Linked DNA regions of Oreochromis niloticus. The protein of the gene in region 1 interacts with the protein of each later gene in a pairwise test. Links are inferred from orthologs where the notes say so. Each region holds a gene or a part of one and is shown on either strand. Other genes may lie near its edges. The genes, in order: hspb11 and ift27.

Evidence for each region.
Region 2: the proteins of hspb11 (region 1) and ift27 interact in binary tests that used the Homo sapiens proteins (3 or more experiments, as listed by UniProt). The two-hybrid records come from large-scale screens. The link is inferred for Oreochromis niloticus from reciprocal best matches to the Homo sapiens genes IFT25 and IFT27.

Annotation. Positions count from the first base shown.
Region 1 is NC_031977.2:14,347,528-14,363,392, reverse strand, and holds hspb11 (intraflagellar transport protein 25 homolog), read left to right. Parts: upstream 1-8,311; 5' UTR 8,312-8,435; coding exon 8,436-8,527; intron 8,528-10,613; coding exon 10,614-10,720; intron 10,721-12,285; coding exon 12,286-12,354; intron 12,355-12,437; coding exon 12,438-12,481; intron 12,482-12,574; coding exon 12,575-12,667; 3' UTR 12,668-13,410; downstream 13,411-15,865. Other genes in the region: smn1 (survival motor neuron protein 1), read right to left, coding at 2,280-2,336, 2,574-2,681, 2,851-2,925, 4,571-4,747, 5,300-5,491, 7,163-7,282, 7,363-7,434, 8,157-8,204. UniProt on the Homo sapiens protein: Component of the IFT complex B required for sonic hedgehog/SHH signaling.
Region 2 is NC_031971.2:8,797,143-8,812,470, reverse strand, and holds the start of ift27 (intraflagellar transport protein 27 homolog), read left to right. Parts: upstream 1-8,145; 5' UTR 8,146-8,291; coding exon 8,292-8,325; intron 8,326-8,778; coding exon 8,779-8,858; intron 8,859-15,328. Other genes in the region: syngr1b (synaptogyrin-1), read right to left, coding at 7,031-7,132. UniProt on the Homo sapiens protein: Small GTPase-like component of the intraflagellar transport (IFT) complex B that promotes the exit of the BBSome complex from cilia via its interaction with ARL6. Not involved in entry of the BBSome complex into cilium. Prevents aggregation of GTP-free ARL6.

The DNA.
Region 1 (15,865 bases):
TGGTGTTTGTGCCACTATTTTCAAGATGTAATGTTGACTGCAGTGAATGTTTGGTGCTCTATCTTTGTGGAAAAAGGGAAAGGGGTTAGCACAGCTCCTGTTTCTCTAAAAATCCCCCAAAGTCTCTTATCTAAAAGAAGGTTGTTTGTTGATGTTGGGAGCTTGGGTAAATAGCTAAAGGCACTGTAACTCATGCAGCAATGCGATCTCACTTGGATGTCTGTCTGTTTCCTAGAAGGATCTATGTGAAATGCAGATTATGTTTACATGCCTCATGTAGTCTGGTCAGTAGGAGGTAGACAGTCACAGAGGGGAGCGGTGCTTTCCCAAGCAAGGTCTGACCCCCTTTCAACTCCTCACTGGGCTCCACTGAGCCCTTTGGGCAGCTCAGTTTGCTGCAGAGTCAGGCAAGCAATGGGCTTATGTGCAAGCCTCGCCGTGGCAGATTTTAGACCCATCTGTGGGGAAAAGATATGTCTGGTTTATCACCCCTCATTTATAGTGCATATTCTATTTGTAAATCCCACAAACTACATTTTCTCCTGTTACCGTCCCTCTTTCTTCTCCTGTTCTCTCTCTTTTGCCCCCGCACATGCACACAAAACAGCAAAAAAAAAAGAAAAAAGAAAAAAAAGACTGCTGCAGTGAGAATCAAATACAGCAGTAAACACTGGCAGTCACAGTGGGCAATAAAATGCCGACCACAGCCAGTACACAAACAAAGAGACTGCTCTTCTGTCAAGCAATGACTATGGAGCAGCTGGAGGAAGATCACATGGTATAAAAAAAAATGAAAAAAAGCCAGGAGACAATCATGCTGTTACAACCTATCACAAAACCATATTCTGTTGAACCCTCTCTCGCTCTCTCACACACAAATCGCTCACCACTTCAGAAAGAATGAGCATAAAGTAGAGGAAATATAGGAAATATGTTCATGAAATGAATGCAGGACAGCTTCAGCAGCATGATTGTGGCTGTTGCCACTGTAATTGCATGTGGTTTTCTATATTCTAAATATAAAAATGAACAAAGTATCTGCAACCACCGTCCCATTTCCTCCTCTGTTCCTACACTATTAAACCTCAAACATTCCAGCATAGTTTTCAGGACATCGGAAAGAAAGTCGCGAGCAGACCCTGAGTTGTCATTATGCAAAATATTAGAGCCAAGAAAGTAATATGCCTAATTTGTGGCAAAATGGAGTTTTGAAATCTAGGTGTTCCTACTGGAAATATCTCCCGAAGAATTTGTCAAGTGCAAAAGGCATTAAAAAGAAAAATTGGCACACTAAAGAAATTGCATTAGAACTGCTTCAGTCCTCGAAACATAAGCCTTTTATTAAATATTCCCTCATTTGATGTTGATTGTGTTGGAGAGCGCCCACAGGTCCAAAATATTCCAAAGGTGTTAATTGGGTGATTGTTAAGGCTGTAGCATGTTACTATATATTGATCCACACCGTGACGCCTCCATAGGTTTTTGCCTCAATTTGTCTGTATCTGTCAGTGGTCTTAATGTCTCAGTACTTTTCTCTAATCAATCTTTATCTGCACGACTAGTTCACTGTAATACTGTCTGTAGCTGAAACTGTGCCTTCTATCACCCTGAAATATGCGTCTATGTGATGCGAGCTGAAAAAGATTATGATGGATGTGATTCTATATCGGGCTGTGGACGAGGGAACACCTCAGGGAAAATGGGGAGCTCGTATCCAAGGAACATATTGGAAAGACTCTCTGAATTAACAGTGTGGAAATCACCAGAGGGACTAAACACAAGACTGAAGTCTGGGTTGGAATCGAATTCTAAGGATGGCAAGTGTACAGTATACAGACTAATGGTTGCATAAAATGTTCCTTTGTATGGCCATTGTTTTGTACAGGACTAAAAAACAGTCGATTATGTATTCATGCCACATTTTCCTATAAATACATTACACCAGTCTGACTTCTACTGGACAATATTTGCCATTACAGCCATATGCTATTGAGTTCATCACATACACACACGTAATATCCAGTAATCCTTTGTTTTTTTTTTGCCATTCTGTAAAATCAATTAGAAAATATGTATTTTTTAAAGTGATAAAGTGGCTCTTATTAAGCAATTACACTGTACAAAAAAGTAATTTATACAGTCTTTTCTAGCATAATTTAAACTATATCCAAAAACAGGTACCCGCTGTGTTCTCATAGTCTTTATTTCATCTATTTACAAAGAATACAAAACTTTCTTCCATCACTTCATATGAACAAACAGACATAACAAGCAGGGCTTCATTTGTGATGCTGTTTTGTCCAGTTGGAAGCTTCTTTGCGCCCTTGTTTCAGCCCCTATGAAAACACAATAACCCCCAAAAGATTACTCATTTTATGAATCCATGACTTTTACATATACCTAAAAATCTGAAAGGAAAAATAAAGCAACTTAACCAAAAAGGCAAAGGAAAAGCATCAACATTACCATAAACAAGTGACTACTATTTACAGCATAACAAAAGGTGAGGTATGTACAAGCTCCAAATCCATGTTATAACCTCCCAAAAAGCCAGCAGGGCTCTGTGCACGTACCAGATAGTATCCTGTGTGATATCCACTCATATACCAGGAGATGAGCATGCTGCCCAAGGCTTCATCATCCACCATGTCAGGGCTCATCGGTGGAGGTGGAGGAACCATCTAAGGCATCAACAGCAGAGCGAATGTTCAGGATGCAGGTGTTTAACATTGCCATTTGTTAGACCCTAAACATGTTATATCCTAAACTGTATCTACATTTAACCTGCTGTATAGTAAACATTTAAATACCCTTTAGCTTTGCTAAGGGTAAAAATTGATCCCAACTCACCGGTGGACCAAAAGGCATCATGGGAGGCCATGGAGGAGGTACAGGCCCGTGACTACCAGATCGCTTGCTGCTCCCCTGATGCAAGACAAAAGACACAAAGGTGGAAATCAACAGCTTGTAATATCATTACCACATAAAGTACCCAAGATAACGAGAGAGGCTTGAAACTATTTTCATTAGGGAAGCTTATCTAAACTGAAGTAAGCGCAATCTGATGTCTTTCAATTCTTTTACTCAAAATAACTTTTTTTTCAACATGGACATAAATATCATGGAAATATTAGGCTTTAATTGATATCTTTGATCTTTGCTTTGTGAGGCAAAATGATTGCACATTGTTAAGCCTGGGGAGCTGAGACTAGCCAGATAGAGGTGAGGTGGTGGTAGCGGTGATTATTAATAAATCCACTCCAACTGTTAATGCAAGGGGGCTAGAAAAAAAAGAAAGGGCAAGGTGCATGGCCTTTTAGCTTTGGTTAGTGTCTGCCTAGGTGGTAGCTTTTCTGTGCCAAGGAAGGTTAGTTCGACAACACTAACTGGATTGATCAATACCAACGCAACATCGGACAAGACAGGAATGCTTACTGTAAGCATGTCTAAATGAATGCAAATTCAAAGATAATCACAAAGTGCAGGCTTGTCATGAAACAGAAGCTGCTTAAACAACATTGTCACAGTCCAAAGTTAGTGAGGTTTTACAGAGTTATGGACCAAGTGGCTGGTGTCCAACATCAAAACTTTCGAGCTCAAATAAAGTTTGTTGCTTCCCACGTGAAAATATAAAGCACTAAATCTTGACACAGTCATTTTTAAAAAAAGCTGAGACACTTAAACCTCATCATGATTGTTACGCATGGTGGTGGCAGCATCATGCTCTGAGGCTGATCTACTGCCAGTTAAGTTAATATAAGTTAATGAACGAGAAGGACTTTCCAGAATTCTTCATCATAAGCTGAAAACATCAGATAGATGTTTGAAACCTGGAAACAGTTGTGTCGTTTTGCAGGACGATGATCAAACACTCATTAAAGTTGGATAAAACACAAAGCTCAGTGTAAAAATAAGGCATTTGAAATAAAATTGAAATAACAACCATATAAAAAAGTGAAATGTGCTTAGTAAGAGCTGTGCCAGAAGACCATAAATTCAAGAGTTTAACTTTTAACGTTTAACATTTAAGCAAATTTGTTGATGATCTGTATTTATAACTCTGATGCTTTTTGATTTCAAGTCCAAGATTAGTTAAAACTTTTTTCTTTTTAATATCCATCATTATTGCAAGCATTAGTCCCCACAGTTCCAGGAAAGCACTAAAAGGCACAAGTTCATGTCCATAATAAGTGTATGTATGCTTTTAAACTGAACAGTCAGCACGTAGAGGCTCAAACAAGGCTTAAGATAATGTACAATATTTTTTAAAACACATTATTTCTTTTCTGCTCTTTACAGTTGGGTCCACAAAAAGAAGTTGGGCCTATTACAATCCAGTCCTGCAATAAATGTTCATATTCTATCTTTATTGTTCAGATTACAAACACTTTGCTCACATTTCATCTTTCTGACTACAACAAACATTCAACCTCCTATCGGGAATTTAATTAACACCTGAAACTGATTTAATCACAATTTAAAAACAAAAATAAGAGGAGTAGTATGCATGAAAGTAATTTTGTTGTTAGACTAATAATGAATCAGCTCCCTAAAGAGCCTTTCTTCTTACCTGTCTGAAAGCACGCATGGGAGGTGGTACTGGAGGAAATCCAGGAAAACCAGGAGCCCACATAGGAGGTGATTCTTTGTGGGTCTTGGACTTGTGGCCCTTATTAGGTGACTGTTTGTGCTGGTTTGGAGTAGCTGACCTGTCACTCTCCTCTGTTGAAGATTCTACTTCATGCACCTATGGATAGCAAAGACATACTGCTTTGATCTTTCTCCCCATTTTCATATCATTGGGAACAAATACAGAGAAATCCATAAACCTATCTGAATTTGTTTGGGAAGCAGTAAGAAATGATCCAGACAAAAGCAGAAAGAGCTAACCCATCCATCCATACTTGGTCCTAAGTTTTAATAGACTGAGAAAGCAATCTGTTAATCGGCAGTGATTTCCATGACTCACCATTTGATAAATATTGGGTGGAGTAATTAATAATAATTTCATATTTTTTGGTCTTTGACGCCAACTGCCGAAATTTCGACTGTTATATTCATTAAGTTGTGGCCTATTAAAAAACCCAAATGACAATGGATTGCTTGCCAATTATTTAAGCCTGATTTGGTCACAATGTTAGTTTTGTTATTTTAAAATTCATGATGTGCATATGTGAATAATGAAGGTAAAAACTATGTGCAAATTGTGTCAGGGAACAATACTACCATTTTCTAATAACTGAATTGTTATTTGTATTGTGCTGCTGTTATGTGAATGCATTTATTTGCACTAGTTTACCTTGGTATTTGATTCCTCATCACCCTCCGAAAACTCTGACAGCAGGTCTTCAAGATTCTGCTCCTCCTCGTTGCCATAGCCTGTATAAACAACTATACAAGTGCCTCTCTTCTTGTCTATGGAGGCAATCGTGGCTGCATAGAGCTGGCCATCCTCGGACCAGTAAGCACTGCATGAGTCCCCAACCTGCCACTGTGACACAACATAAACTGTAATTAAAGTGAAAGCGTCAACATGTGTAAACAACGCTGTTTTTGAATGTCTCAGAATTACCAACAGGGTACAGTTGTGGTCAGAAAAAATACTCATCATGGGCATGAATGTCATGGTAACATGGTGCAGAAGAGGTGCACAAGTTTAAATTAAATTTCTATGGGATCAAAAGTATACATAAGGCATATACACATATACTCCGAATAACGCGTTAAATGTCCCTGAGCAAGTCGCGCCTCCACCAGATGGCTTTTGGTAACCATCAACAAGCTTCTGGTGTATTTCTGGTTAAATATTTGATCATTCTTCTCGCCAGAACTAATAGAGTTCATTTAAATTTGTTGGCTTCCAGCACAAACCCAGGTTTTAAGCAAAGTCCACAAATTTTAATGGGGGTGAGGTCGGGCTTTGGGAAGGTAATTCCAAAAGCTTAATGTTAGCCTGCTTTATCCATTCTAAATCCAGTTTTGATGTGTGTTTGGGAACAATGTCCTGTTGGAACAGTTTTCCAATGACTGATTTGAGGTGAAATTATGTTTCAAAGCCTAATATTTACTGCTCCAAACATACTTCTTGTCATTGTGGACAAATAGCTACACCTTTGTCTTGTCTGATCGTAAAACTTTTCTACAGAAGACATTTGGCTTGTCCATGTGGGCTGCTGCAAATTTCAGGCAGGCTTGAAAATCTTTTGGTGCAGGTGCTTCTTTCTTGGTTGGCACCCTTCCACTTCACAGTGATGCAAAACTGGCTTCACTGTGTACAGTGACACTGATGCTGCAGCAGTTTCCAGTTCATGGCAGACTTGAGCCTCAGCGGTTCCTGGGTTGTTCCTGAACATCCTAACCAATTTCCTTTAATCTGAGGATGTAACAGATTGGGTCTTCTTTGAGACCTTGGATAAGAGGTCACGTGTGCAAGTAACTGTTACTTGCTTACAATTGTTTAAACTGATTATCTTAAAATCTGAAGTTGTTTAGGGACAGCTCCAAGACCATCCCAACCCGTATAAATGTACGATTCTCCTTCTTAGACCTTCATAGAATAGCCTGGCGTTTCCTATTGTAACAAGCACTGGTCAATCCAATAACTGCTGCCATGCAAATCCTATTTATGATGGCAGAGAAACTATTAGATTTAGTCAATCATGATCACTAATGACAAGTTAACAGGCCTTGCCAAGTTCTAAGTCATTGTTGAACCTTCAGCACCACTTACTAAAATATTTAAGTGAATGTATGTATATATTTGAGCCCGTATTTATACTTTTCACCCTGTGTGGATTAGAGAAAATCCACCTCCCAAAAATTTGTTGTCCACCAAATTCTTGATTTTAAAACCCATTTAGGATGTATGCTGTGCAATCACTCCACAAAGTAAAAAGAACAGTTAAAAGAAATTATTAAAATCCTCAAATTATGATGACATTCATGCCTGTGATAAGTGTAGTTAAACTTCTGACCATAACTGTAGAAACTGTAAATGAAAGACACATTTCGACCACTGATTTGAAACACAGAATCTAAACTGACTTATGTTAAAATGTACTCTCCAGTTTGATACCTCTGACAACTTTGTAAACATCATGTGTAAATATTTAACACCTTTTCCCCTTCAAATGTATCTGTAGCTTTAGTTCCAGTTCCTCACCTCTTTTTCTGGTGGTGCATTGTTTCTTTTCCTACTCTGGTTCTTCTTGTTGTTCTTGCGTTTCTTTCCTGGTTGGTTTTTCTTTGAGACTTGTGGCTCATCTTCACCCTTAAGGGCAGTCTAATACGCAAATCAGGAAGAGACTTTAAAGTCACAAACAACATTTCACATTCACACATACTGCAATAATCCCAAGTTACCTTGAAAGATGCAACTGCCTTGTCATAAGCCTTTATCAGTGCGGTGTCATCCCAGATGTCTGAATCATCACTCTGGAAGAGAACAACAAATTTGGAGTCTTTACAAAACGAACATGTATTTTTGATGGGTATACATAAATAATGGCTAAACATTAAGTGATTTAAAAATAATAAATAATACCTGCAAACCAGATGACATTTGCAGCCAATATTTATTTGTTGTGTCAAAATAATTCACTAAATAGTAAAAGATGGTGTGCTGAAGAGCAGAAAGACATTAAAACACTTAATTTATGATGAATAATTAATCAATTTCTTTCGTGGAAAAAGGATAAACAACACACAAAAAGACGAGCACATTAAATGTTGCTGAATTATTATTATTATTTTTAAATCAGTCTTAAATCCACAATTATAATGAAGCATCTTACAAGCAGTGCATGCAAAAACAGAGTCAGGATGCAAAGGATCTTAGGGTTATTGTACAGTACACCTTTGTCTCCTGTAAACTGTTGCAACTCAACCTAAAACTACTTTGTAAAGCATTTTTTGTAACGTTTATCCACAACGGTATATTCCAATAAAGCCACGTTTTGTTTATTGAAGAACATCTGGTATATTGTTTATTTCCGGCTTGACTTCTTTTATTCCTTTTCTCATATCTTAAGTTAGCCTAACTCAACGTTGGTTTGTAGCTTTTAGCTATATAGCTCACCGCCTCAAACAACTGCACAGACAGCATAGAAGCGTCATATAAGTCATGTTCCTCCGCTTAATAGTGCATTATAACTCGCCTGTCCAGTTCCGCGCGTAAAAAGCACTTCTTCGCATCCGTTCGCCATGTGAACAATTGCTATATCCAGTGCTAGCCGCTAACTCCTAAACATCTAACTAGCAGCGTGCGTCGGAAATTGTGACGTACAACATTGCGACGTCTATATCTTGCGACGCAGTGGTTGGCTTGGCAACGGCAATTGACGACTTTCCCCCCTTAAGAATCTGTAAACAAGCATTTGTTGTGTCCTGTTATAGAAAAACCAGAAAGCCTCGGAGACTATAACCTTTTCTGTGCGATGATTGAGTCCTCTTTAACTTCTTTAGGTGCGAAAGTTGTCCTCGCTGCATCCAGCGATGAAAATCACCCACCAGAAAGCATTATCGACGGGTGAGTGCTGGTTCTTAAGCCGTGGTTATCTCAGCAGTTTTATCTTTGTCAATTTTCATATATTCATTTAAACAAAACGAAACAAATTATGTGATTTTGCTACAAGTTGCTACTAAAAGGTGCCTGAAGATGCAACTTAAAATTGCTTCTTTGCTAAGCTGTCTGTTGTGTTGACATAACACTGGTTCGTCCCTTTAAAGTCAAAACTTTATTGTCATCTCTGCTAAATACAGTTCAGTACATAGAGAGACGAGACGACGAGGCTCCAGTTCCATAAAGTGCAAAAGAACAACAAGAAATGTAGGAAGAGTAAGAATAGAAAGAATAAATATATATACACTTTGAGACTGAGGTAAGGGGAGTAAATATACACTTTGAGGTAAAAGGGTTAATAACAGTCTAAAATTTACATTTTACAATTGATATTTAAGTGGTTTAAAATGACCAACGTAGCAGCTTTACAGTTTACACTGTGAAATAAAGGGACTAACATGAGGAGGATTCCTGAGAGTAGGACTGTCCATAGAGCAGCATCTGTATTTACAAAGGCAGTGGTATGTGGAGTCCGGTAGAGTCAGTTAGTGGTTTGTGTGGGTGTGTGTGATGGGGTGGAGTGGGGGAGCTGGTAGTGAGTTCAGGAGTTTGATGGTTTGTGGGAAAAAGCTGTCTCGCAGTCTGGAGGATGCTGCGATAGCGTCTGCCGGATGAGAGGAGGGAAAAGAGTCCGTGTGAGGGGTGTGAGGGGTCACGCACGATGCAGGAGGCCTTACTGATGCAGCGTTTGTGAAAGATGTCCTGTAGCAGAGGGAGAGATGTTCCAATGATCTTTGCAGCTGCTTTGACGATCAGATGTAGCTGGCTGAGGTCACCGACTTTGCAGTTTCCAAACCACACGGGGATGCAGGTGTTCAGAACACTCTCTATGGCGCCCCTGTAGAACATGGTGAGGGTGGGACCAGGGAGGTTAGCCCGCTTCAGGCGTCTCAGGAATTGGAGGCGCTGCTGGGCCTTTTTGGTGATGGAGGTGGTGTTGGTGGTCCAGGTGAGGTTGTCTGAGATGTGAACTCCCAGGAACCTGGTGCTGTTAACAGTCTCTACTGTGGAACCGTTGATGCTGAGTGGTGTGTGAGTGGAGCGAGTCTTCCTGAAGTCGATGATCATCTCCTTGGTTTTGTCCACATTCAGTGACAGGTTGTTTTCACTGCACCAGAACGCCAGCTGCTGAACCTCATCTTTGTGCACTGACTCGTCGTTGCTGCTGATGAGTCCAACCACGGGTGTGTAGTCGGTGAACTTGATGATGTGGTTAGAGCTGTGTAGGGCAGTCCAGTCGTGTGTCAGGAGGGTGAACAACAGAGGGCTGAGAACACAGCCCTGAGGAGCTCCTGTGCTCAGCCTGATGGTGCTGGAGATGTTGTCGCCGATTCAGACGGACTGAGGCCTCTCTGACAGGAAATCTAGTATCCAGTTGCAGAGAGAGGTGCTCAGCAGCATGAACAGCATTCTGACATAGTTGTCTTTCTTGCCCAGGTGGGAGAGGGAGAGGTGAAGTGCAGTGGAAATAGCATCCTTGGTCGACCTGTTTGGCCAGTATGCAAACTGTGGCGGGTCCAGTGAGCAGGGGAGGTTGCTCTACCGGGATGATGATGGTGGACTTGAAGCACGCTGGGATGATCATCAGGCTCAGTGATGAGTTGAAGATGTCTCTGTAGTCATCGGCCAGCTGATCAGCGGAGTATCTCAGCACGCGTTCCACGTTGTGGAAGTGGCTCTGGATCTTTTGTGCATGTGCACGCTTTGCTTGTCGGATGGCGCGAGAGAGATTTAGGTGTCTTGAATTACGTGCTGTATTTTTTGCTTGAATGAGTCACATGATTGTGCAAATGACTGGAAAAGCAGTAGGACTATTGCTTTAGCTAACATTTTTGATATTTCCGGAAAGTCTGGCTACATGGCAGCAAAATAGGAAGAAGATTTTTTGCGCAATATTGTATATCTGCACAACAAAAGTTGATATCAAAATGTGATTTAAACAGATCTCATCAATGGTAAAATGTCATGATTTTCTGTCTTTCTTATCACTCAGAAACACTAAAACGTTTTGGATGTCCACTGGGATGTTTCCTCAAGAGTTCATCATTCACTTCCCTGAACCTACAAACATTGGCACTGTGACAGTGGACAGCTACAATGGTATGGAGGCTGTGTGCACCTTAGGGCAAACATGCATGTCCAGTTCTATAAACGTTGGGTCCATCTGTAAAATTTGATGAACTGAATTTCCAAATACTTTTCCACCTTACCTCAGTCAATTTTAAATGAGCCAACATTTCTGGATCGTGTTCATGTATGGCCTTTACTTTGCGTGATGGAGCTTTAACCTGAGTTGAATGGATGGTAGATTGAATTGTAGTAACAGACCGGAAGTGTTCCTAAAATCATGCAGTGATTTCTATGACATAATCATGCCTGTTTTTCAGTGCTGCCTGAGGGCCTAAAGATCAAGGGTATCCATCTGTTTTCAGCCTGTATTTATTTGTCCCTTGCGCACAGAGATTTCTTCAGATGTCCTGAATCTTTTTAAACAGAGATATTCTTTTTATACCCAGTCATGTTATTGACCTGTTGCCCGTTAACCTGACTGGCTACAAAATGTTCCTCTGTCTCTTTTTAGTATCACTTGCTGTTCCAAGCTTTTGTTGGCTCCGTCCCAACTTTTTTTGAGATGTATTTCTGCCATCAAATTCAAAATGACCTTGTGTTTTTTTCTCAGTTTAAATATCTGATGTGTTTTCTGTGTTCTTTTGTGAAAAAATGAGGGTTTATGAGATTTGCAAATCAATGTATTCATCTTTTATTTACATTTTACACAGCATTCCACAATCCCAGCTTTGTTTAAAATTGGGATTGTATTTTGTGTGGATTGTATGCACCCCGCTGAAGTAAACAGGCATTAAAATGATTTCATATAGAACAGCTTGAAAAAACACTTTTTGTACCCACGTAGTATTGCAGATTAGCTGCTCTTCAAGGGAATTATGAGCGCCTTTCTCAAAGGTTTATGTCATGCTTTTTAAAGTAATATGTGGGATAACAAATTCTTCGTGGTGTTAATGTAGAAATTGACCTTTTCTTTTCAGCCAACTACAGGATATTTGCATTTATAATTTGCTGATATACGCATGAATCCATTTTTGTCATTATTGTTTCCGCTCCTTCGGAGCCCCCAAAGTTTTAATCAGTACTGCACACTCAGGTGATGTGTTTTATCTCTCCACTGCTAATATTCAATACCAAGCAGCGGTATTGGTTGGGGGTTAGGGTTCTTTCTGATGGCTCTTCCATGCAGACATAATCACCCCTTCATGAAACCTTCCAGCAGCTCATTTGCAGTCATGATGTTTCTGCAGTTTATTTGAAAAATTTCTTGGACTTCCTGAGCTTTACATGGCCTCAACAGCCCCCCTTAAGTTCCTGTCATAATATGTCAATAAAACTGTAATTAAGTAGCTCAGAAAAAGGAAAGCTGATTAATCTGTCAAACACTGGACAATAAATGACTGGGTGGTCATTTAAAGGAAGAGAAACGTCTCAAGGATGTGGTGTAACATTGTTCCATATTTAAAATTCTTATTGATAAATATTGTTTTCTAGACATATTTATTTTCTTTAAAGTTTGTATCTATATCTCGTGTTATTTCATGGTTTCTTTCCAATTTTTAATATCTCCTGCTGATTTCTTTTTAATTGTTTTACAGTGAAGCACCTGAAAATAGAAAAAAACACCTCACAAAATGCTTCTCAATTTGAGCCTGTTGCAGAGAAAGGTAATGAGGACATCCAGTCAAAGTATTAGTTTGCACCGTTCACAGTGTTTTTAACGGGGATTAACAAACTCTTTGCCTTGCAGAGTTTGAAAGTACAGAGGGACATCTTCAGTCGAATGCTATAACAGTAGGTTCAAATGGAAATGTAAAGTAAATGTAAAATGAACAAGTTTAATAAGAGTTAATAAAGCCATGACTTGTCTTTGTTTTTCTCTTTCAGCTAAATGGCTGCAGTGCCACCCACCTTCGTTTCATCATCACCGCAGGATATGATCACTTTGTCTCAGTTCACAGAGTCAGTGTAAAAAATTAACGCACATAATTAAAATTAATGTGTGTATAACATTTACGAGGTGTGATCATAAACTTATGCAGCGAAACCCATAAAAATCAAAAACCATACCTTATTTAAATTTGGCCTGACTTGAATTTAATTTTGGTTACACATTTGGTTTAGCCTAGATTGTACTCAGTTGGGAACTTGGATAGCTGGAAACCCAAGAGCTGAGTAGTTATTCCTGTTATACTTCTTTAACAAGTCTGTGTGGTCACGAGAATAAAAAAAAATGGCAGACATTAAAACATCCACACAAACCCTCGTGCTAACCATCTGATGACAAAATTTATGTCACTGGGACCCAAGCAGACCCAAGCAGACCCTAGCGGACTCGTGGATACAGAATGTATAAAGCAGAATTTATTTTTCAGCAGATGTAGCGCGTTTGCAGTCTGGTGATGGCCCATCTACCTGTAGAGAGCTCTGTTGTCAAGTATGTAGTACAGTCTGTAAGCCCCTCTTGCTTGTGTTGTTGTTGGTCAGTCAGCCAGCTGCGAAAAATAGCAAAGTTGTAAAAACAGTGAAAAGTGTCCGCTGCACCGATTGTCTGTAGTTTTTGATCCTTAAAGTTTATTTCATGGTTTCTCCTGTTCCTGTTGAACTCCAACCTATTCTAGCCCACTTCTCAACTAGTCACCACTCAGACAGTACCTCCACATGAAATAGGAGGAAAAGGAGTCAAAACCAGAAACAAATAAAGTTTTTTTTCAACAAAACCATCTTTTCAAACTGCTGCAAGATCTCTCTCTATATGATCTGTGAATTTCTGAGCTTCTGATAGATCATTAAAATGGTGTTAAAAACCTACAAATTGGTTCCCTCAACGCGCCAGGTTATAAAAATTGTCGTATGCTTGCGTTCAGACAGTGCAAGGCAGGTGTAAAGAGGCCCTGAGATGCCTCTGGTTATAGAGCTCCACACTGACTGCTTGAGTGCTGGCTCAGATCCAGAAGTGCACAAAAAGATGACCTTCAGTCATGGATACTGAAATTTGAAGTGAAATCAGGCATACTTTTTATTTTCATGGAAGTTGTGCAACGTTGTGAGCTCATCACATGTATAAAAATAATATGACCATTTCTTTTTTTTCATAAACATATACAGTCAGGTCCATAAATATTTGGACAGAAACAACATTTTTTCTGATTTTGGTTCTGTATATTACCACAATGAATTTTAAATGAAAATACTCTGATGCAGTTGAAGTGCAGACTTTCAGCTTTAATTCATTGCTTAAAAATGTGAGAAACTAAAGTGTTTTTTAAAAACTCAATCTCTTTGTTCCAAGTAGTTGGTCAAATTAAATAACTGAAAATAAAAGATAAAGGTTTCCTCCTTTTTAATACTGTGCCAGTCCTTTACTGCAGCAGCTTTCAGTTGCTGTTTGTTTGTGGGCCATTATCCACATCTCCATGTGGATCATGTGGATACCCTCAAATGAAGGTGGAGAGTCTCCACATTATGTCCGTGTCCATTACAGAACTATAACTAGAATATGTTTCTGTAAACGGGTAAAAAAACAACGCTTGTGTCGGTGTCCAAATATATATGGACCTAACTGCATGACTTTGTGGTATTTCATTTTTAATTAAACAATAATAAAAAACCCACACACACAAGCATTATTTGACATAGCTGGGGAACTATGAATCTTCTTGGGATATGTTCTATAGAGAAAACATTTGAATGTATTTTTAAGCCTGCCTTATGATTAGGACATTTGTGTCAATCCATTTTCACAGTTTTTGCTTATTTAATGTTATGGATTCACTAATGGGCCTTATTTTAAATCCTACATTCGACTGTTCCTGCCTATTTCACAAGCTGATAATTGGCAAAGCCTTAGAATAAAAGAGCCGGATGGTGATGAATGGTAGAATTACTTACAAAGGAAGTTTCTCTCTCTGTGTGAGAGATAGAATTAATTAAGTAATTTTGAGCAGCAGGGGCTTAAATTGGAATCCATACAGCCCGCCCACCACCCACCCCCATCCTCACGAACAGAATTTGACATTGCCACAGACATTTATAACCATGGGCAACCTTGCTGGGGGGTTGGGGGACCAGATGGTTTCCCAGCCAACGAGTGAGTGTCTAAAGACTCCAGGCCTGTTCACACAAAATATTCAAGCCTCCTCTTCTACTTACTGTATATATCCTTTAGACACACACAGTAACGCTTCCTCATAAACACTCATAAACCTATCTACCTCAGCTGCCATTTCAACTTGTCGGTAGCAAAGGCTTCAGCAGTATGCGAGGACCCTTTGGGACTCCCTCCCCAATTACTTTTCTGACTGCACGAGGCTTGGGGATTTGCGGCGCCTGTGTTTGTTATAGCTTGGTCTGCATGCAGGGCCCTGAATAAACCAATAAAAATATGAAATAGTTGCCTGAATAACTGGCCTCCTGATAGTTTAGAGCAACTAATTGCTTAGGGGTATAGTTCGGATGGAGCACATTTGAGTATGTGAGTGTGTAATGAGTAATGAGGCCAAGGCAGAAACTGATACGGTGTTATTGACTCTTCTATTATTTACCAGTATGGAATATTTATTATATTTTTGAAAGTAAGGTTTGGACCGTGAAATGCAGTGCTTCAGAGTCATAGGAGAACATTTTTCCCTCCTCGGTAGTTCAGGTGTGAATTTTAATTCATGTGTTTGCTTTAAAAATGTAACCAAAGAGCCTCGTTTTGCATGTTGAACAGGTCTGAAAGAGCTCCTCTGTGTTATTAATGAATTCAGGCCCTTTTGTGCTTGACTATCAGCCGATCAGAAGAAACACAGCAGGATATGAGTGAATTATTATCATGTCACTGCAGGGTAGGGCTAAATTATCACCCAGTCTACTGATGGCTGTCTAACTGCTGTTCAGTCATACTCAGACATCTGCTAGACCAGAACTCTGTATGTTCAGCTGAGTCTATAAAAAGAGATTGGATCCTCCCTGAAAACCCCTGTTCAGTAGATGATACAGCTGACAGAGGTCGATTTTTGTAAAATTATTAAAAGCCTGCAATAAATATGTATGCATGCAATATATTTTTCAGTTAATTATCAGTTAAAACACATTAAAATGGCTACGTTTCAAAATCACAGGAAAAACATTGCATTTTTTAATTGCAATTGTGTAAATATAGTTGATGTTTTGTATGTGGTTATTTTGAGGAAG
Region 2 (15,328 bases), on another chromosome or scaffold:
ATCTCCATCCCAGGCGACCTAATCGCACAATAATTTACTTATCCTAGTTTGTTTCAACGTGCCAGGTTGATTTTAGGCAGTTAAACGTAATGACAGACCATTACCAGGACAATAACAGGTAAATTCAGTTTAACGGTTGGTTGTAATGGAACTTAAATCCACAGCTGAGGACTCCTCAAAGTAAAGACAAAAGGAAATAAAAAACAGAGGAAAACCTTCCTGAAAGACGGGATAATGCTGGATCCAGGGTGTTCCTGTTGTCACTACTCAGTTGCTGACTGAAACGAAGAAATTACGCTCCAAAGAGTGGATATCGTTGATGTTTTGAAAGTCTCAGTAACTGAATAAATCAGAGCAATCCCTTTCATGAAACAATAGATCTGTGTCTTTGTTTTTCCCCTCGCCAAAATAAACCAGAAGACTAAGAAGACTTTTCATTAGGACAAATGTTTCGTCACTCATCCAAGTGACTTCTTAAGTCTCAGCTGAATGCAGGTTACCCCAACGGCATAAATGGTACATTTGCATAATGACCTCCTTACCTGGATGAATTAGTACATTGGAGCCTAGCTAACACCACCAAGTCAGTGGTTCAGGTATGTAGATGACACCTGGGTAAAAATGTCAGGATGTACCACAATTGACTGATCACAGTAACTCAGTGGACATCAAGTTCGCCTGGAAGGATATGACAGGCTAGACTTGTTAGACTGTGAGATTTCCATCAGTAATGGGGGATATTTAAAAGTTAATGTGTACCATAAACAAATGTTCACAGATCAGTATTTAAGGTTTGACTCTTATCATCCACTGAAGCACAAACTAGGTGTCATCAGGACGCTACAACACAGAGCGAACAGCATCCGCACAGATAGAGCGGCCAGGGAAGCAGAAGAACATCATATCAAGAAGGCCCTGAGTAAATGTGGTTATCCCAGCTGGGAAGGCACCTAAAGAAAGCTCTGGGTGATCCAGACGAGAAAAAGGACAACGGTTAAAAACCCTTAGTGATGATACCTTATATGTCAGGAGTATCAGAAGAACTGACACACATTTTTTCTAAACAATTGGCCTGTGTGGCTTTCAAACACCAAAACACACTGCGCCAAAAACTGGTCCACCCCACTGATCGGGTCGCCTGACACAGACAGAGTAATATAGTGTACGCTGTTAATCTCCAGGACGATTGCCATGATTTACACATCAGGGAAACAAACAACCTCTGGCGAAGCGGATGGCACATACATAAGAGCTAACTTGTCAGACCAGGACCCCATGGTCTATTTACACCTACAGTCCAGTAGCCAATCAAGACCATCTCTGAATCCAGGACTAAGGGTACATCTTTCACCAACTTACAATGCTGTGTTTGCAGCCATTCCCCAACTCTCTGTGAATGGTACTCATGACCATTGATCAGTGGTAGTTGATCAATGGTCATGATAATTTGCATATTAACGATCATGAAACTGACCTCACAGCTCATTGTTCGTTAGCGGTGCTAGTTTCAGTTATTATGCAAATGTACCGTTTATAAGGTTGGAGAAACCTGTGACTGAAGAATTCTCTTGGATGAGTGGCAAAACCTTTCTCCCACTGAAAACAGTATGTCCAGATAAACAGAATCAACTTTCTGGCATTATCATTTTACCTGGTTTGCTCTTACCTCTACATTACAAACAGACATTAAATTTTACAGAATGGGATCTTAAATACTGTTCATCACTATAATGGACTTGCAGGAAAGTGCTAAGAAGTGCTTGACCTTTAAGCGATGTTCACATTGGAAGGGACAAAGTTTCATTATTGCTGAGCATGGACTGCTACACTCTCATTGAATTGCTAACAAAATATTGTTTAACCCTCTGAGGTTGAAGATGTTAATTTCTATCTTTCGGATGCAAGCAAAAAGCACTTTTCTGGAAGAAAAAGTTTTGACACATCCATTAAATTGATTGATGTTCTTTGTCTCATGATTGCCAGAACTTAGGAGAACAAGTTTAACAAGAACATGACATGTTTCGATAGCACAAGGATAGGGTCAGAGGTGACAAAACCACAAACATTCTTTATTTAAGTAGAAGTATAGATACTAGTATCAAAAAATACTCTGGTAGAAGATGAAGTACCAATTCAACTTATTTACTCAAGTAAAATAAAAAAAGTACAGTTCTGAAATGTACTCAAAGCAAGAAAGTAAAAAGTAGCTCTTTGAAGGACATTACTACCAGCTATTTTTTTGTGAAGGACCTGGCACTTTGGGGTTATTGGAATGTGTTGTTACACAATGACAACATTTGCATTGTTAGACATAAGATGCATAAATTATATATTTTTGGTTCTTTAATATCTTTCTATGTAATAATCCACAGTAATGGATATACTAACATGATTGTCACATCGCTGGATGTTTGGCATGCAGTGATGTGAAACAATATCTTCTCTTAAATGAGTCAAACCTAAAGTAACGAGACTGTTTTGACAATGTCAGGAGTAGAAAGTAGATATTTGTGAAAAAAATGCACGTTTGTTACATGTTTGTTACTTCCCACCTTTGGTTAGGGTTATCACCGATAATGCTTACGTGCTTTATATTATCAATCGGTTTGTGTGTGTTTTACAAATATGGAAGCGTATGACCCACTGAAGTCTTGGAAAAAGCTGAACTTTTGTTTGCATGTGTCAGTTTTTAACTTCCATTGAAAGTGTGACTTGAAGCCAGCTGCCTTTTCACCATAAGAGCCACAACAGCTACACTACTGGGAAAGGCGTCTAGTATATGAACTAAGGAAGTCTCCTTTATAGTGCTGAATGTTATAGTCTCCTCCCCCACAGACTGCTGCAGGCTCAATATGAAAGTCGTCACACGATACATCACAAGCTAGGCTATGCCTGTTACTATGGCGACATGCTGCTGCTCTGATGACACCTCTGGACAGGGGATGTGGTGAGGAGTCATAAAGACACTCCATACCTGTAGAGTGTTGTCTTAAAGTGTCAAATCAATAGAAAATTATAAACGTGGAAGAAAATCACTGCTGAAGCAATCTGTCACCTAAAATGTAGCTTAAAAACATTTTTGAGGACCATAAAACTCTTTAAGACATTTAAACATGTGCTGTTTTGGTTTCTATTTTTAAGATTTTGAGTACTGAATGCTTAAAGAAACAACTTCAACCATTCAACCTCAACTATGCAACTTGAACATTAATAAATAGTCACATAACAGTAAAATGTATTGTTTAAATATACGATTTAACCCCCTTTGTAGCGCAGTAATCTAGTTAATTCAAACAGAAATAATAATATAAAGATTAAGAAATGAAGATAGAAAAGAAAAAAGAAAAAAACTGCAACCCTAGATAATAAATAGAGATTTTATAACTACAAATATCTACTGAGTTGTGCCATATACTTTCAACATAAAACCCTAAAACTCTAAAAAAAGGTGAAATAGCAGTGATCAAATTGTGCCATATTAAAATATGCTTTCCCTACGTGACTGAAAAATATTCCTGCATACAGACAAATTTACAGCACAACATGTGTCATATGTTCAGAAAACTGCCAGGTTTACTAATATAAATAATATACATCATATTAGTATACCTCGTATACAGCCAAAGATATGAGCTCACAACTAAGCATTACAACGATTAAATCCATGATTTACTGACACATCACATCACTTGCCATTGGCTTTGTTATTTAAGGCTAACAGATTAATAAACTCTTATTTATTTTTACCACAAACCATGCATTTTCTTTGTATTTCTAATTATAATTTTAAGTATAACTTTTTAAGTTTATGGCACTTTCAGGCCACAGAAGCTTTTTAAAGCATTTATAATTTTTAAAAGAAGAACACCTCAGCTCCCACTTTAGTGTCAGGACTAGGGCTGTTCGATATAACGATATATATCGGATGACGATAGAAAAACGTCTATCGTTTCATTTTACGCTATCGTTTGTTTCGTGGTGTCGCAAAATAAACTGTTTACGGCAATATTTTTTCATCATTTTGATGGTCACTGTAGTGGCTATATTAATTTCCTAAAGTTCTCTCTTTCTCTTATATTTAATATAACCACACTATGGAAGGACAAGCGCTTGTTTTTTATGCGTTTTCGTTAGCAACAACGACGGTAAAACCACGGCGTGTCCGCTTGTTTATTTTCCACATAAACCTTTCACAATAAAGCTCAAGATCCTGTTGAGGCTTTTCAAAATAAAACGAGTCACGTGAAAGATGCAGAGTATTAACGGATGAGAAGCAAAAAAGAGCCGCCAGGTGCTAAAAAATAAACCTTAGACTCAAACGTTAGAACAGGCTTTTCCCCGCAGCACGCCGTGTAATAAATACTCACAAAGAAAACGGCGGCCGTTACAACTTACTTCTAAAAATATATCGTTTCATGCATCAGTTAAAACACTCGACTCCAGGTACGCGACGCCCAGCTGGAAACACTTCACGCAAGTCGAGATGCCCGACATTCACAGAATTTACAGGAACTGTTACATTTTTGTAATTTATATCGTTATATCGACGATAGATGTTTTAATATCGGGATATGAGATTTTGGTCATATCGCACAGCCCTAGTCAGGACTGTACAGTACAATACAAACCTTACCTTATATAGGTTTATATAGTTATAAGCATTATGTACTGATGCAACGCTGGTAACTGACATTATGTGACTGCTTACATTTTAGTTCTGCAAACAACCAGTGGCTCTTAAGATGAAACTAAACTTTGAGAACCTGAAAGATGCTAAAGTTCGGACTTTATGCTACAAAGGAAACACAATGAAATTTTAACTTTTGAACACTATAAAATCTTTGCAAGTGTTTCCTCTTAACCAACTGGTGCCTCAACACAGAGAAAATCAGTACAGTGAAAGTATAGAGATGAAGACACTGAAAAAGAGTTAGAAGAAAGTAAAAGATCAGATCAGGCTTTTACCGCCTGGGCTTATTGGCTACCAGAACACATTTAGAGAAAATAGTCCCTTGTAACATTGGGTAACATTGCTGTACAAAAGTTTTGAGGCACCTCTCATTTCTTCTTATTTTGTTTCCAAGCAGCTACACTTTCTTGTGATATTTTAAAGCGCTCTTGAACAATGGTGCTCCAGACTTTCTGAGTCTTCACAGTTTTTCATTGCACATTGGCTGCTTTTTCACTTATTTTCAGAGGAATGTTTCTTGTGTTTGTTAAGCCAATTATCACTGACCTGTGAATCAGCACAGTGTCTACACATAACAGACAACTGAGGGAAAAAAACATTTTAAATTGTATTTTTTGGCAAAACACAAAATATGTTCCCATTTCTTTAGTTGAGTCTACAAAAGAATGATGCCAAGGATAACACAGCTTAACAGACATAAACTACTATTTTAGCAACACCACCACCAATTCAGCTACTTACATACACGGACAAAATCCCAAAACTCCAATCATGTCTTCCTACAACCTTTTGTTGTGGCTGTAGCCAACTTGTTGCCAGCACACAACTTCTAGCCGGCTAATACATCACATAAGCATTCTTACTGATGTAAATATAAAAGAAATAATAACTAAAGGTAAGATGTTCTCCCAGTAGGTTGTTACCTTCAGGTAATCCCAACAACTGTGGTCAGGAAGTGCCTTTAGTCACACGTAAGATAATCTGAATGAACACCAGATACAAAAACTACAAGTCATTTTTCTTATTAAAAGATGTTCAAGTACACATTTCCACATCTTTTCCTGTTTTTCCATAAAACAAGGTGAAATAAAAGAATTATTATTAAAACAAATAATAATATGCTCTTTGTAACAGACTGCACTGTAGTCAAAAATCAGTTGTATAGTTCAAAATCTAAAACAACACTGTCTATGTGTTAACTTATTGTCCAAATATGTTAAAAATAATGATAATAAGGGCAATTCCTAATTGCTGCACATTACCAAATGTTCATTTAAAAAAATGAACTGTAACAATGTAATGTATAAATCTCCGTCAGATATTCATCACCTGACGCAGTCTATGAATGGACGCAGTATATTTACTTCCTGTCTTTCTTAAAGTACAACAATTTAAGAGAACTTCCTTGATGCGTTCTAATGAAAACACCACATAGTGCATGCATTTTCCTCCTCTTAAAACACTACAAGACACAAAAGATACAGCTGCGGGTTAAACACTAGACACCCAAAACAAAAATCTTATAAAATACCACCTGGTAGTGCGCTAAAAAGAAGAAAATCTGCCCAAAATCCTGACTTTAACTCATTTAAATACATGTAAATTTTCCATGTAATTTTCTTACATAAGTACAATGTAAAACAATGGTCTGGTCAAATGAAATGAACTTGATTGTTATACATTCAGTTTATACCGAGCACATTTTCCTTAATGATTAATTATATTAATAAATAAACCTCTGGTTTCATACATTTCAGCTGTTATTTCCTTAAAACTCAGCGTGGAGCCAACACTTTGGGGAGCACTTCTGTTGCCATCTGTTTACTATGCTTGTCAAAAGTGTTCTCCTACTGTTGCTACTCCTTTTTCATTAGTGCTCCTCCTCCTCCTCAGAGCACGGAGGGTGGTCAGTTATTATGAAATTATTTGCTATGAAATTCAACAAATGTGTGACTGCGTGTTCTCACTGTGCTCATGAGAAAACATCATCTGGTCACTGTATCTGTAGAAGGTGGATTTTGTACACAGCGATCGGGACTCTGTTCAATCAACCCATCAACCCACTGCGTGAGGAGAATATTATTAGTGAGATCAGGTAATAGCACCAAACACACAAGTGAAAACAAAAGTTAAAAGAACAAAACACCACAAAGCATGTTACAGCTGCCTTCAGTATCTATAGGAGCTCCTCTCTGAAACGAAGCCTGTGTGGGCCCTCGGTTGGCTAATTCAAACCAATATTTGACAACATATATGAATGATTTAAAAAAGTGGTGGCCTCTGTAGCTAACTGTGTATCCAAGAACAAAGTTATTTTTCGTTTTTATATCTCCAACTCACCCAAGACACTATGCGGAGAATGGTCTGAGGCTGCTGGAGGAAGGTGACGGGGTCGAAGGCTCCTCCGGCTTTCCCGGCTCCGTATGCCTGCATCCCCTCCATGGTCCTCCTCCTCCTCTCTCTCCCTCCCCGCTGCTGGCTCAAAGGCACAGGGTGTGTGGAGCACCGGGTAACCGAAACGGAAAATCCCCGAAACTGCTCCCTATCACCACTACTGTACTACCGCTGAATCTGCACGGCTGGGATGCGCGTCTCCCCCCACCCCCGGTCTCCTTTGGCGCCCTGTTCTCTCGTGCTGTTGGTTTTAAATGTAACCTCTAATTTGTCTCCGTTGAGTGTTTGGGTAAAGAAAGCTTTGTGATGGTGCTAGATAGTGATGCTTTCTCCCTTTAGTTCAGCGCAGAAGCCGGTGGCGACCCCGTGAACGCGCCTCCGTTGTCACGCCTCGGACGGAGCGCTCCTCGTCAAAACACCCCGAGTAAAAAAAACAGAAAGAAAGAAAAACAGCGACGTACTCAGGACCACTACAGAGAGTCACGCGCTCTTCGTTTACCGATGGTGGGCGGAAAAACAGTGATTAAACCATTAAACCAGAACATGATATTAACTTAATCATATATATCATATCATATATGATAAAGTATGTGAGCTGAAAATAAATATTGGTAAAGGGTTATTTTGTGTGAAGGCACTTATTAAAACACTAGAATGCTTCTACATGAATAAACGACAGTATAACAGTACCACCACCCAACAACGTTGAACTCCCTGATTGATGGTGCCGTGGGTAGGTGCAATAAATTCCGCCCTCTAGCGGTCTTACCGTATATTGCCTGAATATGCAAGGACCTCATGGTTGTTTTCTCCTTCAGGCTTTATACGTGATATTGCTCTGTTCTTAAACAAGCCCCATTAATATTTAGTCAAGTCGGCTTATTGGTGTTATAAATGGTTGTGCACACTGATATTTACGTTTGTACACTGTTTCAGTAAGTTCTGTCTAACAGACTCTGCAAAAGTAGCCTTTTGCTTCCTTTACGTCCTCACAGAAAACCAATGAAAACACGACTACGCGATTACGTCCTCGACGGCTGGACCAATGAAACAGCCCCGTGGCTGGTTGCTAAGAGACGCTTTGTGTCCATGTTCCCGAGGCTGCAAGAAGGATAGTCCATCGCATATGGACCGATAAACAGCGAAACATAGCTCGATTAGCTTCAAGAGAGTTTTACCTGACAGAGACCGGAAGTCATCCCATGTAATGGTCAAGTTAAGGGCGAGATGTCTGCTGGTCGGTAAGGTTTTCAAAGCGGCCCACTTGATAAATAAGGAACGGGGGCTAAAGCTAGCCTTTTACTACAGAAACATCCCCAGCCACAGGCCGTGTCCTTCTTATGTTTCAGATTCAACCTACTTGTTATAGGACTGACGACAAATACAAGCCTGATACTATTTCATATATAAAAGATTATGTTTGTTGGGTCTCTTTTATCATGTAGCTACAGTCATTTAGCTTACACAAACCAATCACTGCCGAGTGATGATGTTTCAACTCACAGAATTGATGGTGAACCAGACACTAAACTCTAAAACTCCCTGATAATGAGGGGGGTTAATTATGAATTCTGTCGAGAACGAACTCCTTAAACACAAATTAAACTATTAATTATTAATTCACAAAAACTACATCGTAAACACAACCACAGGCTGTCATATTTGTATTCTTCCCTGTGTCTGTGTGTCTGTAGGAGATGCTGCAGTGGGCAAAAGTGCTCTTTCTCATATGTTCTACAGCGATGGCACTCTCTTCCAGAAGAATTACAGCATGGTGAGAGCATTAACACAGTCACTAAAAGGCTCATGGTTTGATTCCATGAGTGAAGTGAGTCTTCCTACTTTAGATCCGATGTGTCCAAAATAAGGCCCTCCTTTCATAAGTTTTACAGCTTTTCCTATTAATGCAAAACAAAAGGAATTAACTAGAAGATAAACAACTGAATGATAGAAAAGTGCCTGTTTTTTCCACCATCTATAGAAATATGTAACAAAATCAACATTTACTGTGAATAAAAAAAATGTGTTTTGTAAATACAGGACAGTTTGTTGAGCTAACACAGATCTCTATGTGATCATTTGTAGTTAAACATCTTTACAATGACAGAAAGTTTCGCTTGTTAGGCCCACGTGAGATCAACGTGTGGTGTGTGTGGTCAGCGGTATAAAATGAGTTTGACATCATTGCTTTAGACTAATCTGTAGGGTTAGGACAGTCTTTTGTTCTGCTCATTGGTCATTTCATTCAGTTTATAAAGTTTCTCCTGAACGATAGATGTTGCCACTCAGACAAAATTTCCATATTGTCACTGGTACAGAAGTCAAAACCAGAAGCATAGAAGTTATAAAAGCATATTCCTCTTTTTCCTTGTTTTTTTTTTCTTTTTCTTTTTTTTGCAATATTTCCCTCTGTATAATCTGTGGATCTCCGAGCTCATGTACTGATATATCATTAAAATGGCAGAAAAAAAAACGGCACTCATATCATCAACCTGCATTGGTTGGATTGCCTGCAATGCCCCAGGTTCCAAAATCAAAAGGTACTTGGCCGGCCGGAGCGACACTCAAGTGGTATCGTGGCCAAGTAGATGTGACGTCAGTTTGACATCATTTTTGTCACCTGGCAAAAGCTTTATTGATGTTACCATGGTAGCAATCAGTGACACCAGTCTGTACCAGTGGGAATCAACACTTGGTGCTATACACGTGTACAGACACGTGTATATGAAGGTTGGTTTATCTTTAGATAGTTTAAATTAGGGGTGTCAACATAAGACTCCAGGGGCCAAAATCAGCCTGGAAAAGATTCTAAACTGGCCCACTAGATGGCTTTGAAAAATTTGAAATAAGGCATAAATTTAATAGGTTTTAAGCTTTCCCTGCTGATAAAGACTTCCCCTGTGGCCATTCATACTACACCTATACCATTTACTTACTTACTTAATTAGTATAAGTAAATAAGTAACAGATAAACAGTTAAATTACAGAAAAGTTTCAGTTTTTCACTATTGACTGTTGACTTTTTTTGGTCTTTATCACATAGAAAAACTGAGACATAATGTTGAAATTGCTCTTCTTTTTTATATTAAGATTTCTTGGGGCTTAAATGTGTAGTTATAATTCTTTACACAGACAGAAAGGATTTTTTTTTCTGGTTTGGCTCACTGAAGATCAGAATTAGTTGAATGTGGCAATGTAAAATGGGTTTGGCCTTCCTGGTTCATATAGAGGAGCTGCTATACTTTGTGTGTTTAAGTATACACTTGGTCCGATTGACTAATTTTGTTGTGAAAGGGTGAATGTGAGGCTCAGAGCAGATGTCAGCATGCCTTTCAGTTTTTGCACCAATGTACCAGCTATGGATATGTCCTTCACGTGGACTTCAAGCAGGCTCGAACAAAGTATAATAGAATGACTACTTGTCTGTGACATCTGCAGCCGTCCACATCTGAGAAACTGCCCCCTGGTGTAGCACTGTCACATAACACAGAGAAAGCGAGCTCACTGCCAGACATACTGCAGTGTATGTGGGGTAGGCAGCATAACATGTCTTATAACAGTAAGTAGGGATGTGTTGTACTCCATTCACACAATCAGCAGAGGAATGGAGCTGTAAAACAAGTTGTTCAGGGATTTACAGATCGGGGTGTACTCCGTGACTAGCCACAGGCTTATGTTTTTGTATTCAGGCTGGGTAAGTGAGGTGAATTGGGTTTGAAGGAGCAGCTCATGAAGTGCAATGCTGGCTCACTGCCAGCACAGAATAGATAGTAGTTTGTAGGGAATAGCCTTATCTGTGTGCTGTGAAGCGCTCAGAAATCCAGGCGTTCAGTCCTGCCTGACACTGCAGCAGCTAATCAGCATGTAATTGGCAAAATGTGCTTTTTTAGTAGGCACACTTGTTCTGATAGCTAGTATTAACCTTCCTGAGACCTATTAAGGTCTTAGAAGGCTCTAGATGTATTTATAGATATAGGCATAGCAGTTAAGCAGTGAGTAACCGTGCACAGTTAATCACATGTAGCCGTTTACTCCAGATTTGCTCAATCAGTCAAGAACTGTAGAATTTTCAAATTAATGAAACAGTAAGATGTAATTATACATCAATAGCAAATCAACATGTCTAATATTAGTCAAAGAGGACTATGTTTATATTGCATGTAGTTTCTTTAGTGGAACTTCTTGCAGGCTTTTCAAGGACCTGCAGAGGTCTTTACTACAGGAATCACTGAAGTGCACAACAGCATAATGTAGCAATTAATGCTGACGCAGAGAAGGATTTATCTGCATTATTTATGCTAATCTACACGACAAAAGGAACCATGTCATTAACCTGACTCTGTGATGTATGGCGGCATGGCTGTTCAGCGATTCCCTCAGTTTTCTAAAGGGCTAGTGCACTGCAAAAGTAAGAAAGTGTAGGTGCGGTACATGCATTAACTCGTGAGTATGGATACATATTCATGCAGTTTTCTCTCAACACACAACCACTCACATTTAGTGACTTTACCATAAAGCCGTGCAGTGGTTATGGTACAGAACAGGTTGGTGTATGAATGACTGGACAAAGGCCAAGTGTGCGTGTGCGAGTGTGTGTGCATGCATGTGCCTGTGTGGTTGCTCAGATCTTGCTATGTCAGCAGTTAGGGGGCTTCTGAGGTGACAGGAACGTCGATAATTAATACAGCAGGATTCTGGAAAGCCACCAGAACAGGTACTTAACTAGCAAACACACACACCAGCATACACACAAAAAAACAACAGGGATGAGTTTCTTCATACTGCATAGGCTTGATACAGTAGGCACTTGTTTGTGATGCTGTGTGTGTCTCTTCACGGTGAACTAGCGGGTCATTGACGAAGTAGAAAGAGGCTGCAATTGGGCGGCCTTTTCAATTTGTAATGGCCTAGCATGCACCATCGCTGAATGCCAGGTCAAACTATTAGACATCTTTTTAACTAATGCAGCTAATATGAGTAGATCTAAAGAAATGATACAGGTGGAGTTGTGTGAAAATCTTCAAATACACAACAAACAGGAAAATAAGAAGAGAAGAAGCAATGCCGCTTTGAAAGTAGGTGGAGAGAAATACAGGTCTGCATTTGTGCCAGTAAATCAAGGCTCTGTGTCCAGTTGACACCACTTTATTAGCTGAATACTCTGAAAGAAATGCTCATGGGGAATTGCTGGTCACAGTCTTTGCTGTTGCTATGCAACTGTTAAAACACCTATTTGTAGCCAACCGCTTGCCTGATATTAGTTGAAATATTTTTAACTTCTTAACTCACTTGGTGTAAAGTGCTTCATGTAAAAGGAACTTGACTTTGGAAAAAAAAAAAAATGAAGCTCTTAAACCATGAATTTTTCATCCAGAAGTTACTTTGTGTTTTCTAGAGAGTAGTAATAGTGAAATGTACAGATTTGCCTTCAATTCCAGCATTTGAACAAGATGTATGAATATTTACATCTACCGAGCTTTGCCCAAGAGAAAGAACCCTTACTCAGGACTGTTGAACACGTTAATGTTCCCTCTCGTTCTGACTCCATAGACCTTTCTTTGCTTCTTGTTACTTTGAACAGTGTTTTGAGTTGGGTTGTTTAACAGGACTCTTTGCACTCCTGTAAAAAACTAAGTACGCCCATTGATTCAGTAGCTTGTTGAACCACTTCTAGCAGCACTAACTTGAAGTAATCATTCTCTGTATGACTTTATCAGTTTTCTGCATCATTGTAGTTCAGTAAGGAGAGATCATTAGAAGGAATTGAACATGATTTGTCGATGTAAAGAATTAAATTTGAGGCATTTGGCGGCTAGACTCCGATGATCCATCACAGCAGAACAACATCCCAGCAGTGATAGGGATTAGGACAAGATCCCCTGGAGTGTAGACTCTGGTGGTGGAGATGAAGATGGAGGCTTGAATAGGTCCTGAGTGACTAAGGAGAGGCGGTGATGCGGAGGAGGTGGAGTAGACGAAGGCGTCTGCAAAGGAGAATGACAGATATGCAGTGAGATTTAAAGTATGTGGAGTGAAGGCTGATTGGTCTAAAGAAGGCCGGCAGAAAGATGATTGGACTAGACCAGTGATGTCACAATCAGCTTGACAGTGTGGGAAAGTGGAAGTGATGTAAAGCTTAGATTAGCCGCCAATACCTGGCAAGTAGACAGATGTGTGACTACAGATCTCCCTTACTGAACTTACGAATAAGCTTCAAAAGAATTTTTCCTGTACGAGTTTGCTTTAGTTTATTGAGATTTGTGAGCACTTTTTTTCTTACTTTGGCCACAGTATTTCAATTGGGTTGAGATCTGGGCTTGGACTGGGCCATTGCAACCCCTTGATTCTTTATTTTTTCAGTCATTCTGCTCTAGATTTGCTCCACTTTGGTCTCTACTGTCCAAAGGATATTGTTCCAGACATCTTGTGGTTCGTGTAGATGTAACTTTGCAAACCTAAGCTGTACTGCCATGTTGTTTTTAGAGAAAAGAGGGTTTCTCCTGGCAGTCCTTGCAAACAAGCCGTACTTGTTCAGTTTTTTTTCTGTCATGAACTTTAGCCTTTAGCATGCTAGCTGAGGCTGGTATAATCTGAGATAATGATAATGATAATGGATTGCATTTATATAGCGCTTTTCGTGAACCTCAAAGCACTTTACAGTTCCACTATTCATTCACTCTCACATTCACACACACTGGTGGAGGCAAGCTACAGTTGTAGCCACAGCTGCCCTGGGGCAGGCTGACAGAAGCGAGGCTGCCATATCGTGCCATCGGACCCTCTGGCCAACAACAGTAGGTGAAGTGTCTTGCCCAAGGACACAACGACCGAGACAGACAGAGCAGGCGATCGAACCAGCAACCTTCCGGTTACAAGTTCAGCTTCTCAACCCCCTGAACCACGTTCACCCACAGAGATGTAACTCTTGGGTTTTTTCGTGGTTTCTTTGAGGTCTGCACGATCTGACCTTTGGATGAATGGAGTGAATTTGCTGGGGTGCACATTCCTGGAGCTGATTAGCGTGTTTTTACAGGGATAGGGATAGGATATTTAAAAAACTATAAATGGACGACAAAGTATTTACAAGGTCTTTTACTTCTACTTATTTTATTCCAGATTCTTCCAATAGCTAGGTTTGCTGCAAAAAACTTTTTCCCTTACAGCAATATAAATTAGTGTCATTTTTAAAAATATTAACTGATATCATGATTGTAAATCACCAATCCCTGGGGTACTCCACAGGTGACCTTTCTACTCTAATACCAGTAACTCTGTCCCACAGCTTTCAGTTTAAGATTTAAATGCTGATGGAAACAGGACACAATATGTGTTTCTTTCATGGGGCTTAACCGGTGCTGTGAAGGGTTAATCCTTCTGCAGACGCCCAAGTCATCCCTCATGTTCTTCAACTTTTGATTTTGAAGGGTAGCCGAGGCTGTCAGCCATTCCGCTCACGTCCTCCTTTGAAAATGTCAGACAGCCTGTTAGCAATATTCCAAGTTTATTTGCTACTAATAGGCTCTCATTGACATTCCAGCAAGAAGCTTCCTATGCATCACACCAGCTCATTAGACCGCTCTGAAGTGGGACTGCAGCTTGGTCCGTGTGTGTACTGCTGGATGCTTGTTATGAACTCTGCGTGTGTATGAATTGGGTAAATGTTGGTCGGAGGTGTGTGTGTGTGTATTTCACAGAGGCAGTGAGTGTCCACGGTGCGTTTGTGTGTGCGTGTGTGTTTGCAGGATTTTAGACTCTTGCATTTGACATGCTTCGTTAAGTGTGAGCTCAGGAGATCAGATCAATTTAGAGTTAGATGCTGATGTGAAGAAACCTCGACTCACTTCTTCAAGGTCATCACTGATCTCATACCAGTGAATAGTTGGAGGGGGAAAGGCAGCCTGCAACTATCTGGTCCATTTAGGATTTCTTTAGATCTCGTAGCCTGTAAAGAAGGTGAATTTGTGATATCGTCCTGCCTCTCTACTGCCTGCACTTTATCTCCTTTAACAGCTACCTCTATTTGCTCTGTACTAAAAGATCCCAACTACCTTCAGCAGTTTGTTTAACATTAAGACAGTTTGACCAAAGTTCAAATAGCTGATGTTTCCTGAACTGTAGTTCGGGGCAGATTCAAAAAACAGCTGCCTCCACCTTGCAAAGGAGGAGGAAGGTTTACAGCCACTACAGCTCTTTCTGTGTCATTCTTATATTTTTGCAACTGCTTTTGTGTGATGAACAGTCAAC